Neodiprion lecontei: one gene and its partner. The protein of the gene in region 1 interacts with the protein of each later gene in a pairwise test. Links are inferred from orthologs where the notes say so. Each region holds a gene or a part of one and is shown on either strand. Other genes may lie near its edges.

The links.
Region 2: the proteins of uncharacterized protein LOC107226405 (region 1) and serine/threonine-protein kinase polo interact in a two-hybrid assay, tested with the Drosophila melanogaster proteins (2 studies listed by BioGRID). The link is inferred for Neodiprion lecontei from reciprocal best matches to the Drosophila melanogaster genes ko and polo.

The regions. Positions count from the first base shown.
Region 1 is NC_060260.1:27,351,386-27,356,545, reverse strand, and holds the start of uncharacterized protein LOC107226405, read left to right. Parts: upstream 1-1,977; 5' UTR 1,978-2,273; exon of another isoform or gene 2,274-2,544; intron 2,545-5,160.
Region 2 is NC_060263.1:23,619,814-23,628,012, forward strand, and holds serine/threonine-protein kinase polo, read left to right. Parts: upstream 1-2,105; 5' UTR 2,106-2,256; coding exon 2,257-2,349; intron 2,350-3,310; coding exon 3,311-3,535; intron 3,536-3,745; coding exon 3,746-3,963; intron 3,964-4,210; coding exon 4,211-4,506; intron 4,507-4,679; coding exon 4,680-4,973; intron 4,974-6,462; coding exon 6,463-6,863; intron 6,864-7,003; coding exon 7,004-7,201; 3' UTR 7,202-7,781; downstream 7,782-8,199. UniProt on the Drosophila melanogaster protein: May play a role in regulating both nuclear and cytoplasmic aspects of the mitotic cycle. Regulates localization of the augmin complex during mitosis by ensuring its location on mitotic spindles.

The DNA of each region.
Region 1 (5,160 bases):
TCCCCGGTATGGCGGGTGGTGCTCAAAGTAGGTACTCGGTTTGTTTTAGTAATCGAACCACTGCACTCGAGTATATCAAAGCATGCTCGATAAGTGGGAAATCAAGTATGCTAAGGTAAGAAATAAAACGATAATTCAAACCGGAAGATCTTGTAGAGTTCACCGTCGGTTTTATGCCACTAAATGATGTCAACCTTTATTTTAATTAGGAAAACTGTTTCTATAGCATGAAAATTGTTCAATCAGGCACTCAGTTTTCCTTTTATCTAGCAACGAGTATAATTATAACAGTAAGAATAATAATATTCATAGAATATCACAAAAATCAGGGTTCTCACCTTATTTCCCTCGTCAGGAAATGGCTTTCGCACTGACTCATCGCTTTTAAATTGCGATTTAAACGCGTATCCGATTATAGAGATATTTTCTATTCAACAAGTTCGGATCGAAGGATAAAATTTCGAAAACTCGAACATCGCCGACCGGCAACGATTATCCGGGAGGCGTGGCCAGGACATTTGTCGACTCACGTCCTGCCGTCATGGTTTCAAAGGAAGCGTTGAACAGTTTCGTGCCGAGGTTAAAAGTAGCCGCGAAGTCCTTTTTCCCGGGCGCCCATCGCCCCGCAGCATTGGTTTGGACCAGGTAGCAGAGTCAGGTACGAATAGCTTGCCGAAAGTAGCATTTTCACTTGGATCATCTTTTATTTCGCCCGTCATGATAGCTTTGTGCTTTATCTTACCCCCCCTCCCGTAAAATCCGTTCCAGCTATTCCCCTAATTCGTGATGCTCGAAACAAGAGTGAAGCCATTCCTTCGATCGCTTTTTCAACCCTCTTCAAATTCCCGTGCGGCTCCGCCACGTTGGGGCAACCCTAAAGCGCCAGGCAACCCCCAAATCGACACCCCCTATCCAAATCTCACCCTGTACGTCGACGTACGATACACGCATGTGAACCGCCTGCATCTATTTCCCATTCAAACAGCTGTCGTCCTTCCTTCTTCTCTTTCTCTTCACATCTTCACCTCTCTCTCTCTCTCTCTGCCTCTCCCTCCCTTTTCCGTCCTTCGCTATACCGCGTTCGTAGCGCGCGTTCCGCTAACGTTGAGACTAGCTGACCAACCGGTTCTCAACACTCTGATTACACTCCTCTCGCGTTATTAGACTGGTCTCGGGGCTCTTGGAGATGGGATTTCTTCTTCACATCTTTCGCTGGGTTTTTAACTCCGAGTAGAGAATCGGACTTATAACGAGAGAGTATTACACTTTGACTCGTGTTCAGAGCTTGAGATTCGATTTGTCTGAAAACCAATGATCATACATCAACTATCCCTAAGAATTCAGCAAAAGGGGCTCATCAGACACCATGTGCACCTACAAGGAAAGCACCCGAGGTGTACCTCATGGATTTTCTTAATTCACAAAACTTAAACACGTTTTTTCGTTCAATTGCTGATTCGGTAATTCTGAGGTGTAAAAACCACCCTCAAGGCTCGGACCCAACAAACAATTTTTCAGGAATTTAGGAATAAAATCAATCGCACACTATTCACCATCAACAAAGAACGATATGCACAGTACAGTGTTTCCCATTCGAGGGTCGCATTCATTATTTTCTGGGTGTACGTTAGGAGTGATTCCCATCCTTTAAACGGCCGAATTGGCACCTGCAAAAACATTCTTGTCCAATATTTTACGATGCACAACAACATGTCCAAAAGAAAAAGAAAATCGGTAAGGTACATCTCAGCTATTTTCCTAATTGTTAGTCAGGAGATTCCGGCGATTGAAACGCAGAGTCCTTCGGGGTAAGCCATGAAGTGCACGGCACAGTCCCTATCTAGCATCCAGCATCCAGCGTACGTATCGTGGACCGTGGCCACGATCGCAGGAGGGAGAGTCGACGGGATCCGGGCGTCCTCTGAGACAGGCGAGACTCGAGTTGGGGCCGGCGGGCAGCCAATGCTGCCAGTTTGTTGGCTCCCTCCGCTGAGCGGCCGTTCCCGTCGCCGAACCCGAAGTCCTCCGACTCTCGAATGCCGCTCTGTCGCCGTCGTTCGCAGTTCCTCCGGCCTTTCGTGCGTTTAGTATGACGCCGACAATCGAACCGTCTGCACCTGTCGCGCTGTCTCCTCGCGGAAAAACCAGATCCAGGAACGAGTCGCGGATTATTCTGCTCATCGCTGGCTGGTGTCGTTTCCTCGATCATCTCAGGGTCTAGTTTCACTCCCGTATTTCAATCGAGACCGAGCTGGAATTCCGGGTGGCTTGAGGTACATTAACTATTTGGAAAATACCAATCGGGCGGAATTTTTCGTTGTGGATTTCCGCATTCCCAGTTACAAGTGAATTTCACGTGTGCTTAAACAGTGATCAAGTTTTAGATTCGATACATACACGTAAATATACGTACATACGTACAAGTATAAGTATAACGAAACTTTGGCAAACTTGTACGACCGTTTATTGTACGAAGAGTTTATCACTGTCGAAGAGTGCAGCGACATGTCGCTTTACCAACTTGGATATTAAACACTTTGACTGGTGAGTCTTTAACGAATCGAGTACAATTAGTCAATCTTCGGTCCTTCGAGGAATATGACAATTCTCTTTTTTATTACGAAAAATAATTGTCCCTACATACACAGGTGAAATTTTTATTCGCATTCCAGAAACCCAAATTGTGTCTAGAATTAATGTTTTTTTTTTTTTTTTCAAGCCACTCACGTGTGAATATAGTGAACGGAGCGTTGGGTGATAGTAGAGCCGATTTTCCCTTTCTCATTCAGCAAATCTAAGTGTCGTAAAATGTTACGTAAGCCGGATTCGATCCTTTCAATTAACAGTTTGAGGTGTAATTGTGCAACGATACAATCATTCGGATCTAACCGCCTTGTCGCACTGTTTTATATACCTATATCTTCTGACAGGTAGAGGAATAAAACGATTAATCTCAATTCATTGCGCCGCAAGGACACAACTTTGCTGCACATAATCACTAGAGTAATAGAATTATTGAGGTAACAGCGCTGTTATAACCCAGTCATTAATTGCACTTCTTATCGCAATCGACACGAATTCGCACTGCGCGATTTTATTCGCTTGAGGATGTCAAATGGGCTTCACGGTGAAAGATCCGTCGTAATTTCTTTTCAATTCAAATGATTATCAAACCGTGCCTAAATCGTGATCTCGCCTGAATGTAGGCAACGGCACCTGAGAATACCTAGCTGGAAGAAGCCGATGAAAGGGCCGCGCAAAAACGTGAGAAGTCGGCCGTGAATCTAAAATTTACTCTACGTCATCAGCTGCGGCTTCCACCAGTCAGATGTGCAGAGTCGCGTGCTGCTCCAAGCTGTTCTCGGCTTTTACAGTGCCGATGTCACTGCTCTGCGAGCGCTAATGGGACGCCGATATCCCATCCTATTTCGAGAATATGGATAAACACATTATTAGGTGAAAATGACTCTGCGATTTACGCTAATCGAGGTTGTTTGAAAATAAATTATCAATGTTTTTCAATCAGAAAAGCAATTTTAATAAATAACAAACTGTTAGAATGTTTTATTGCGACAACAATGTAATTTTTTAAGTAATTAAGAATAAAATCGTTTCAATTAAATTTGTTGAGTACTTATGCGACCAAACAAACGACTTTATTTCTACCTATAGACAACGTTTATTTCATTGAATAAAAATGTTTTTGTTCATTAAGCAGAAAGACTTATGAGTCGTATGAAATTGTTTTTTTTTTTTTTTTTTCTTTCATAAGTACGTCTGCATATAGGTAATTATTTGTTGGGCGTGGCTTTTCTATAAACAATCAGAAACAATCGTTTGATAGAAAAAAAAATGTTGAAGCAATGGTTCCGAATTCGATCTAGTTTATCGAAAGTTGTGAATTCTCAACTGGGTGGAAAGCTACTTTTTGCAGAAACGTAATGTATCGTGAATAATATCTGAATTACGTTGAACATTTTCGAGCTTTATAAACAAGGAATATAAAAAACGTATTGATAAATGGAAGCTGTTACAAACCGATTGGTAATATCATTCAAAACATTAATGGAATCCGTTAAGCGAACGTGCCAAATAAATCGCTAATGACGATGGTCGTACATTTCATCGATTCGCACAATTTTGCTATCAGGTAATTTACCGTTACGTCTTTTACCATTGAGAAGATGAATTTCAAGTGATTTAATTGACCAGGAATTCGGATACATGCATAGCCTTGTAGAAGATTCTATGCGTTCAATCGCATGCGCATAACCGAAAGAAGATGCAGGCGGTACAGTTTAAGATCGATAGAGTTGGTTTTAAAATCTTGCCCGACCCAGATAGAATTCCGCATCTCATAAACACCGCAGAATGATAAGTTATTCGTTTGCTGGTATTTACAAAACGTTTACAGCTGGTCTTACGGTACACATCCACCGCACAGTGTGAATAAATACGGGATAATTACGGTTATACTTGATAGTTGGTGTTCAGTTCAGTCGGCTAATTTGTCCCACATCAAGATAGGCAATCCCTGAAGATGCGGTCCGTGAGACGCCCGCACATCCTATCTCGAGATGATCGTCTATGGTAGGGGCGTAATGGCTCGGTCTACTCCTACTGCGCGCCTCGCAATTAGCCCGTAATTTCATTTGATTCATTAGCCGCGCCGGATCCACCGGCACCGTGAAGCTGGAAAAATATAACAACTTTGTCCTGCGCTTTCACGGCGTTGCTCGAGGGAACTCATCGATCCAGATATCTCCTAGATTTATGAAAAAATAGGGAAGTCGACTGGGTTTCAAGAAAGTGAGCTAGCCGTTGCAGACCTAAGAAAAAGCAAGACTTCAGTCTGGTAACTGGAAGTCGTCGTTGCAGTCTGTTAAGGTTCGAATATACGAAATTTCATTCCAATCGATAACATAACATAAATGTTTCTTTGAATGTTCAGTCATACAGCTAAATCTGTACGACACTAAACTCAGCGACCAATTCGTGTCTATAACCTAAGGTAAACAAACTGCATATTTTCCAAATCTAGTGTCGCGTGTAATTGCGTGGGCGGCGAGGTGTTAATTGTGAATAGGCGAAGCCGAGGCGTGCCAGGAAGTTAAGGTGAAATCAATCAGCTGGTTTACCTTGGTAATTGATTTCGTGCAC
Region 2 (8,199 bases), on another chromosome or scaffold:
ATACAAGCCCACTGCCATTATTATTATTATTATTATTATTATTATCGTTGTTGTTATTATTATCATTATTGGTTTTATCCTCATAAATAAGTAAAAATTACACAATAGTTTATATCCCCATTACGGTTTATCGTATTTTTGCATCATTTTATGATTGTTTTAATTTATGCAAATATAATTGAAGCAAAATATTGCTACAGAAAAATTGAATGTATTGTTTGTTAAAAAATGGATGCAATATATTATTCCAATAAAAAACTCTTCACATTATTTTTCATCTGCGGTATGATAACATTTTTTGTCTGAAAATAGAACTGCCATAATATGAATTTCCACCCTTGAGAGGCAATAATGGTTGATTAAATGAATATAAGGTGACAAGAACTTATAGTGGTCTCATGAAGAATCATTGATATTTAGGGTTTCGATTTGATCTTCAAACAATCAGTCCCCATCATCTCGCGAATAAATACAGTAAATATTTTCCGAAGTTTGATATCGTGTGAAACCTTTACGAAATTATTAATATACTTGTACTAGGTGAAATTCTGATTTTCAATTCAGTGTTTAAAAAACTTTAAGGGGGTGGTTTACTTGATTACGACGTTCTTGTATAAATTTCCAAATACCGAAATCACGTATCTCAAGCGCGAAAGAAGGGCCCAACAGCCCCATTTTATACGCAATTCTGAACAAACACACTCCGATATAATTTCATTTGACGCAGAAATAAAGAAATGGTATGGATTCTAAGAAATCGCAATAGTAAATTCGTAGAATTCATGCCATTTCTTTATTTCTGCATTAATTGAAAATGTATTGTATCGTTTTTGTTCAGCATTTTACCTTCTTCACGTTTGAGATATGCGGACTTTGATATTTGGAGATACATTCGCCAATGTCGAAATCGACCAGGGTACCCGCTTAAGGTACTGTACTCAACATTTTATTGGTCCCGTCAATTCGACGATATAATACACGATTGGGTAAATATCTAGCGTTTTGCGATTTAGGTGCATATATGACAACCGCTAAGAACGCGTGATGATGCGGGTAATTATACATTTTTAATATCTAACTAAAACGGTCGGTTCCGTTAGTTTCGTGTTGCGTGGCACATTTTTGCCAGTAGTGTGCTTAGGTCCGAATTTATTGGCCAATCAGATTCAACCTGTATCGTCTTTTAGTCCTTTAAAGGAAATAATAGTAAAGAAATACAAAAGGGATTTTTTACGATATTTATTTTTTTCCGATATGAAGCATACAAAAATGTTACGTGTGGAACGTGAAAGTAAGTGAATATTCGGACAACTATAGTATTGAGTATTCAGAACGGCCAAGCATCCAAGACTATAGTTGTAAAAACGATCGAACTGCTGTTTGATTAGAAATTAGGATTTACACGATATTGTTTTTACTACAATAAATCCCTGATTTGAATGTTTTGACCGGTATTTTGTGTTTTTTTTTTTTTGTTAGTCTTTACCAGCAAATTGATATGTGGTCTTCTATGTCATACATCATACGATGTCTGGTCATTTATTCCTCCAGGTATGAGTGTATCAAATTTGAGTAATATTATTTGGATTAGAAAATCTGAATACATCCCACAATAATGCCCATAAAGTCGACACCAGCACAAAGATTGGCAAATTTCTGTGAAGCACGAAATATTTTTTCTCGATATGAAGCGGTCTTAACATCAATGAAACTTATAGGATATATCAATTATATCACCTCACATACCGTGTAAAATTTTCAATAAAAATCACGAAAATTGGGTTTCCCTAATTTTCGAAAAACGAACGTCGTTTCGTCAGTTTTCGAAAATCTTGAACTTTCTCTGCATATTTCAAAAGAGTGCAAGAAACTCTACAAAATTTGACCAAGATCTTGGGATATGTTCCGATATACACTAAGAGCACTGTTCAGTGCTCTTACTGATCAAGTTTAATTAATGCTCATCGAAAAATACTGTACAGGCTGCCCATGGGTAAAGCCTCGATGGCGAAGCGTACCAACAACAGAAAATTCGGATGTCACGTGACAAGTGGGACGTACGCTATTGGCTGGAACATCTGGATTCAAACATTAGAATCCGTTGCCCGTTCAACACGAAACAGCAGCCAGTTGAGGGCGAGTAACCAAGAGAAGCGGCCTTCGGTGTTACTACGTGTCTTATAACTGTGATTTTAACCGATTTCTAAGTTTTATACCTATACTGGACTGTGGCTCGAATTACCCGGAACAACAAAGATGTCTAAACATGACAAAGACAACGTTATTCCCGATATAATCCACGATGGAAATACGGGAAAGAGCTATATTAAGGGTCGTTTCTTCGGAAAGGTGAGTCTCCTCGAATATTAATCAACGTGTTGTCTCTCTTGCATCCTTCCCATGCCGAAAAATAGCAAAATCCTCGATCGCCGGCTTTGAGGGCGAAGCCAAAGATGAGTCAATCCTAAAGCCATTTCAACTTTCTGGGAATCAGTAGATTGAAGGCGAATTGATCAAACAATCAGATTCTGACACAAACACATTAATTCCTTCGAACAGTATTGCGGGACAACTGATTTATCGTTATTACTCTCTTCTTTTCCGATTAATCATTCTTCTCTGTATTACACATCAATCTAAATCTTTCGTTCATGTTTTCTTTATTCCTTACAACTAATTACACTACGTTTTGCATGCAGTGTCAATAGTCCTGATTCGGGCTTCTGCAAGGTCAAATTTTTGAACACTGCCACCATCAAGCCCATTGTTGAATTTCTGTTGTGCCCGGAAATATATGCTCTGAGAAATTGATGTTATTACTGGTGGATTAAGTCCAAAACGTCATTTGTCATACAGCTTTCAGCCTTTCACCTAGATATATCCAAACACTTGTTGCTCTTAGCCTTGTAATGTTTTTCAAAAAAACATTGCTTTATTCAAAACCCCATCAAGCATTACATTAGCAGTAACTTACCATTCGAAATTTATTTGCTAATTTCACATAACATGCCCGCAAATGTCAGATAGAATTATTATTTGCCCAAAAGATATCTTTTAACAATAAAGTAGAGCGTATTAGTTACCTCGTGAATTCTGATATACCTTCAGTTCTAGGCTTCCTAATAATTTCATTTAAGCAAAACAGAATTTAGTGAAACAACTTTGTATCAGCTAATATTTTAAGGAATCATTTGATTGATAAAATATTGTTTAAGATGAATCTTATGAATGAAAATTTTATATTTTATAATGAGGAATGATCACAAAAAATATGTTGTGGCGAATCTGTACTATGTTATATTTTTTCTAGGGTGGATTTGCAAAATGTTACGAGATCAAGGAATCGAAGTCTCATCATGTATTTGCTGGAAAAATTGTACCCAAATCAATACTGACAAAAGTCAATCAGCGTGACAAAATGACGCAGGAAATACATATTCATCAAAGTCTCACACACAGACATATCGTCGGGTTTCATGGATTCTTTGAAGATATCCAAAATATTTATATCATATTGGAACTTTGTCGTAAAAGGGTAAAGATTTCACATCAACCTTTTATATTTTATGCATCTTTTCAGAGAAAGCCATATTACTTTTTCAAATGTAAGGAATATACGTTTCATTCATGTAAGATTTCTAATCACCATTTTCTTGTTTGCACAATATCAGACACACTTTCCTCCAGTATACAAATTGGAATACCATGGCGATATATATCTGATTCGTTATATTTATTCTTTCAGTCAATGATGGAGTTGCACAAAAGAAGGAAAGCTCTGACAGAGTGTGAAACACGCTATTACATGAAACAGATCTTGGATGGTGTCGCCTATCTGCACAAGAATAAAATAATACATCGAGATCTGAAACTAGGGAACCTTTTCCTAGACGACGAATTACAAGTAAAAATAGGTGACTTCGGATTAGCTACAAAACTAGAACATGATGGAGAAAGGAAAAAGTAATCTCCTTATTCAATTATTATTATACGTTTATGGGGATCAAGTTTGTAATGTTAACATGGTGATAATTGAAAAATTCATTTCTTTCATTCCTAAAGTTCCAAAATAGGTACTTAAGAAAAACCTTTGTTATGTTAATGTTATCCACTTCAAGCTTTATTTAGAGACATAATTGATCTAAAACTTATTCCAAGTAGCTGGTCTTCGAATGTTAATAAACTACTTTGATTTAATTTCGGAAAATAGAACTTTGTGCGGAACTCCAAATTACATAGCTCCAGAAATTCTGATGAAATCTGGGCATTCCTATGAAGTTGACATCTGGAGTATCGGATGTATAATGTACACTCTTCTTGTGGGAAAACCACCTTTCGAAACATCAAGCCTCAGGGAAACATATGCTAGGATAAAACAAGTGCAATACAAAACTCCAGCTTTTCTGAGCAAAGCTGCAATGAATATGATTGCCAACATGCTTCAAGGGAATCCCACTAAACGGCCCAGTGTTAACAAACTGATCAAAGATGTATTCTTCACATCTGGTATTAAATATTTACTTTCTCAGGTTAAAATTCATAAATTAGAAGCATAAACAGCTGCTTCGTACAGAAATAACCAATTTCTTAAAAGTGAATGGTACCGTACGATTTAAGTGTACAAATGAGTTGTCTGAAAGTCAAGAAATTAAATTCGTTATTATTTACCAAATTCATAGGATTCTTGCCAACAAGTCTTCCAATATCTTGCCTCACAATGGCACCTCGTATGGATGCATTGGAAATGCACAATCAGCGTAAGCCGTTAACTGAAATGAATGGAAATGGATGTGGAGATATAAATGATGTCCTATTCAGAGTTCCGCAAAGTCCTGCTCTCAAGGGTAAAGGTATCGAAATGAGTGAAGAAAAAAAATTGGGTCTCGATATAAAGAAGATGTTACTCACACTAAAAGAACAATTAGCAACTGTACTCAAAACTAAGCCTGCCGTGGACCTCATCGCTTTTGGAGGTACATAGACATATATGACGCCACACGAAAAGTAGTAAATTCACATACTATTCCAGCCACAAATATTACACTACTAACAACCAGTTTTAATTTCACTAATTGATACTGTATATTTCCAATACAGAACGGCCAAGATCCTATCAGATTACCCTGGAAACATCAGGCATGGTTCTTCCAATCCGTGTATAATATTAATATACAATGTGTTTTTGTTCAGTAATCAATGCTTCTATTGCTGCAAATTGAGGACCTATAACAGGGTGGCGACAGACTAAGAAATCCAGGAATAGTCAGGAAATTTCGTCTATCCGGAAAAGTCGTCTATCGGGAAAAGTCAGGGAATTATGATGGATTGTAGGGAAAAAACATACTTTTTTTTTATAATTCGTTTTCAGTCTTCAGCTATGCTTCGTAAATTCAGTTAATCTAACTTTCAGAAATGGTATTGTTTAATCTCTAATTATTTTGTGTGAAACAAAGCAATACTATTTGTTTTTTAGATCCAAATTTATATATTCAAGGTGCGCAATTTCGCGAGATTTTGGTCATAAAAGCTGCCCAATATTACTTAAGTTTTGTGGGAAAACTTCAAAGAATTCTGAATTTTCTGATGGGAAAAGTCAGAGAGTTTTATTTGAGCAAAATTGTCGCCACCCTATTATATCTACTTATTTCCAATATTTAAGACTACAATCATTACAACTGAATTGTTTTACTTTGAAACAGGTCACCAACATTCTAAGTAAAAATAATCAGTGAAAATTGTCCTGGTCAATCATCAAATTTTCGTAGCATGACTAGAAACTTTGCTCGTTTGAATTACCTTTATTCATTTTTAATCAACATATATCTGAAATTCATGCAGAAGTATCTCTATTACAGCAGATTGTTGAGTGTATCTGACTTTTTGATTGAAAACAAAGTAGATGTACATGTAAATTATTTTCACAAAACATCACCATACTTGTTATCTGGAATTGCTTTATTTGAGTCTGTATAAATACTTTGACTCTTATTTATTACCTGTTCTATTATCAACCAGTGATAAAAATGTTGGTCAGTTAAATGCATGACAGTAACAATATTGATGTGCACTGTTTCCCTGTGAATGAATTGCTGTTAACAGAGAAATTATTTGATACAATTGTGTATTCTTTCTGTCAATACCTATTTAAGGTGAACAAAATTCCATTGCTCTTGAACTTATTGCTGTTGTACTATAAGCAGTCTCTCTCTTAAGGTTCACACCTACTAAATTTGACGTATTTAGAGTGCATTTCGCCTTATTTTGGTGTTTTCTGAAGTTGAATGAGTAACTTTTCAACGTGAAATTTTTTTTTCGTCGTCATCGATGGTTCAACAACTCATCTCTGTCTTCCATTGTTAAGCACACATTGTATATTGATGTGTACGATACTAGATTTTTCAACGTGAACTCCAATGACGTGGTGTTTTTTTCTTTGTTCCTTTCTTTCTTCAACTACTTTAGATGAGATGACAGATCCAGATGCACAACCATTTGTTTGGATCAGTAAATGGGTGGACTACTCAGACAAATATGGTTTTGGATACCAATTATCTGACGAAGGAGTTGGTGTGATGTACAACGACGGAACACGTCTGATAATGCTTGCGAACGGTTTCAATGTTCATTACATAAATCGTGAAGGATCAGAAGAATACCATACAGTTAAGGACTATCCGGGTCACCTGGACAAGAAGATGAAGCTGTTGAACTATTTTCAACGTTACATGAATGAACATCTAATGAAAGCTGGGGGATCGGTGGCTGTTAAGCAAAGTGATTCAATGTCCAGGATTCCCTACATGCATCAGTGGTTTAGAACGCAAAGTGCTGTAGTTATGCAGCTGACTAATGGATCTGTACAAGTAATTATAACTCGCACAGTTTTTCTTTTTCATCTCTGACATCCATCTGTTTGTACAATGTGAAAAAATTGTGAAGTTCGTATGAACATTGTGACTGGCCAGTGTTGCATAAATATATATGTCAACTACTTTTTTTTCAGATAAACTTCTTAGACCACACCAAGATCATAATGTGTCCTTTGATGGCTGCCGTCACATACATTGATAGTGAGAAAAACTTCCGAACTTTCAGATTCCAAACGATTCAACAACATGGTTGCACTTCTGGACTAGCAAAGAACTTAGCTTACGCCCATGAAAAAGTTGGTTTTATGCTGGTTACTCCGCAATCACGATAGTTTCATAACTCAATCTAGTACTGATTAAAATAATTAAGCTAATGATTAACCATATTATCATCCAACGGACGAGTAAGCGACGCCACATTCAATGCAAGAAATTTTAATGTCTCTCAACTTTTTTGAAGACACTTTTTATAATTACTGCTAGCTAGGTATCCAGACAGCCTGTTGTTAATTTTAATTATGTATTATTTTTTATGGATAGGTCTATAGTATTTTTCTATAAGCTTTTTTTTATGTGTCGAAAAGTGAGAAAAGTAGTAGGTAGAAGTTGATAAAAAGAAAAACCAAGAAAGTGGAAGAAACTTTTGTGATCATTGAATGATATTTCTAAGCACAAAACGAATAACTATTGAACTTTTAAGTGCGGATGAAATTAATTATATGTGATCCCACCTTAATAAGATATATACGTACACATCATGCATTTTCAAAGCTGGAACTTAATATGATTGTGCTTTCTGAGGACACAGAATACTGGCACTTAGTAAGGTCATTTATTTCAAAAGTACAATAAGCGTGCTACCTCAGATTATTATTTAAATTTTAACAAGTTCAAGCAGGCCAACATTTCTGTTCCAAGGATTCGAAAAAGGGGGTTCTATAATAATTATAAATTAAGAGTTGGAAGAAAATGAAGGACTATTACAATAGATCAGTATCTGTACGTTATCCTTGTAAGGTATCTCAATTGACTTGTTTAAATTTAAGCAACTGTACATACGTAGTGGTTAATTACGTCTTAAAAGGAGTACGATGAATACAAATACTAATCTTCAGAAACAAAAAGCTTCAATATTTCTAATTACGGAGATGAAAATTTTCACTACTACTTTATATTTTTATACATAAATGATTGCGCAGACCCCCCAAATCAATGTCGGAGTATAATTGTACAAAATAAACTGCCTGCACATGTACATTTTTCATCCATTAAAGAACTTATTCATGTAAATGTATTCGGTTTTTTTTCTTGTTTAAACATTTTAATTGTA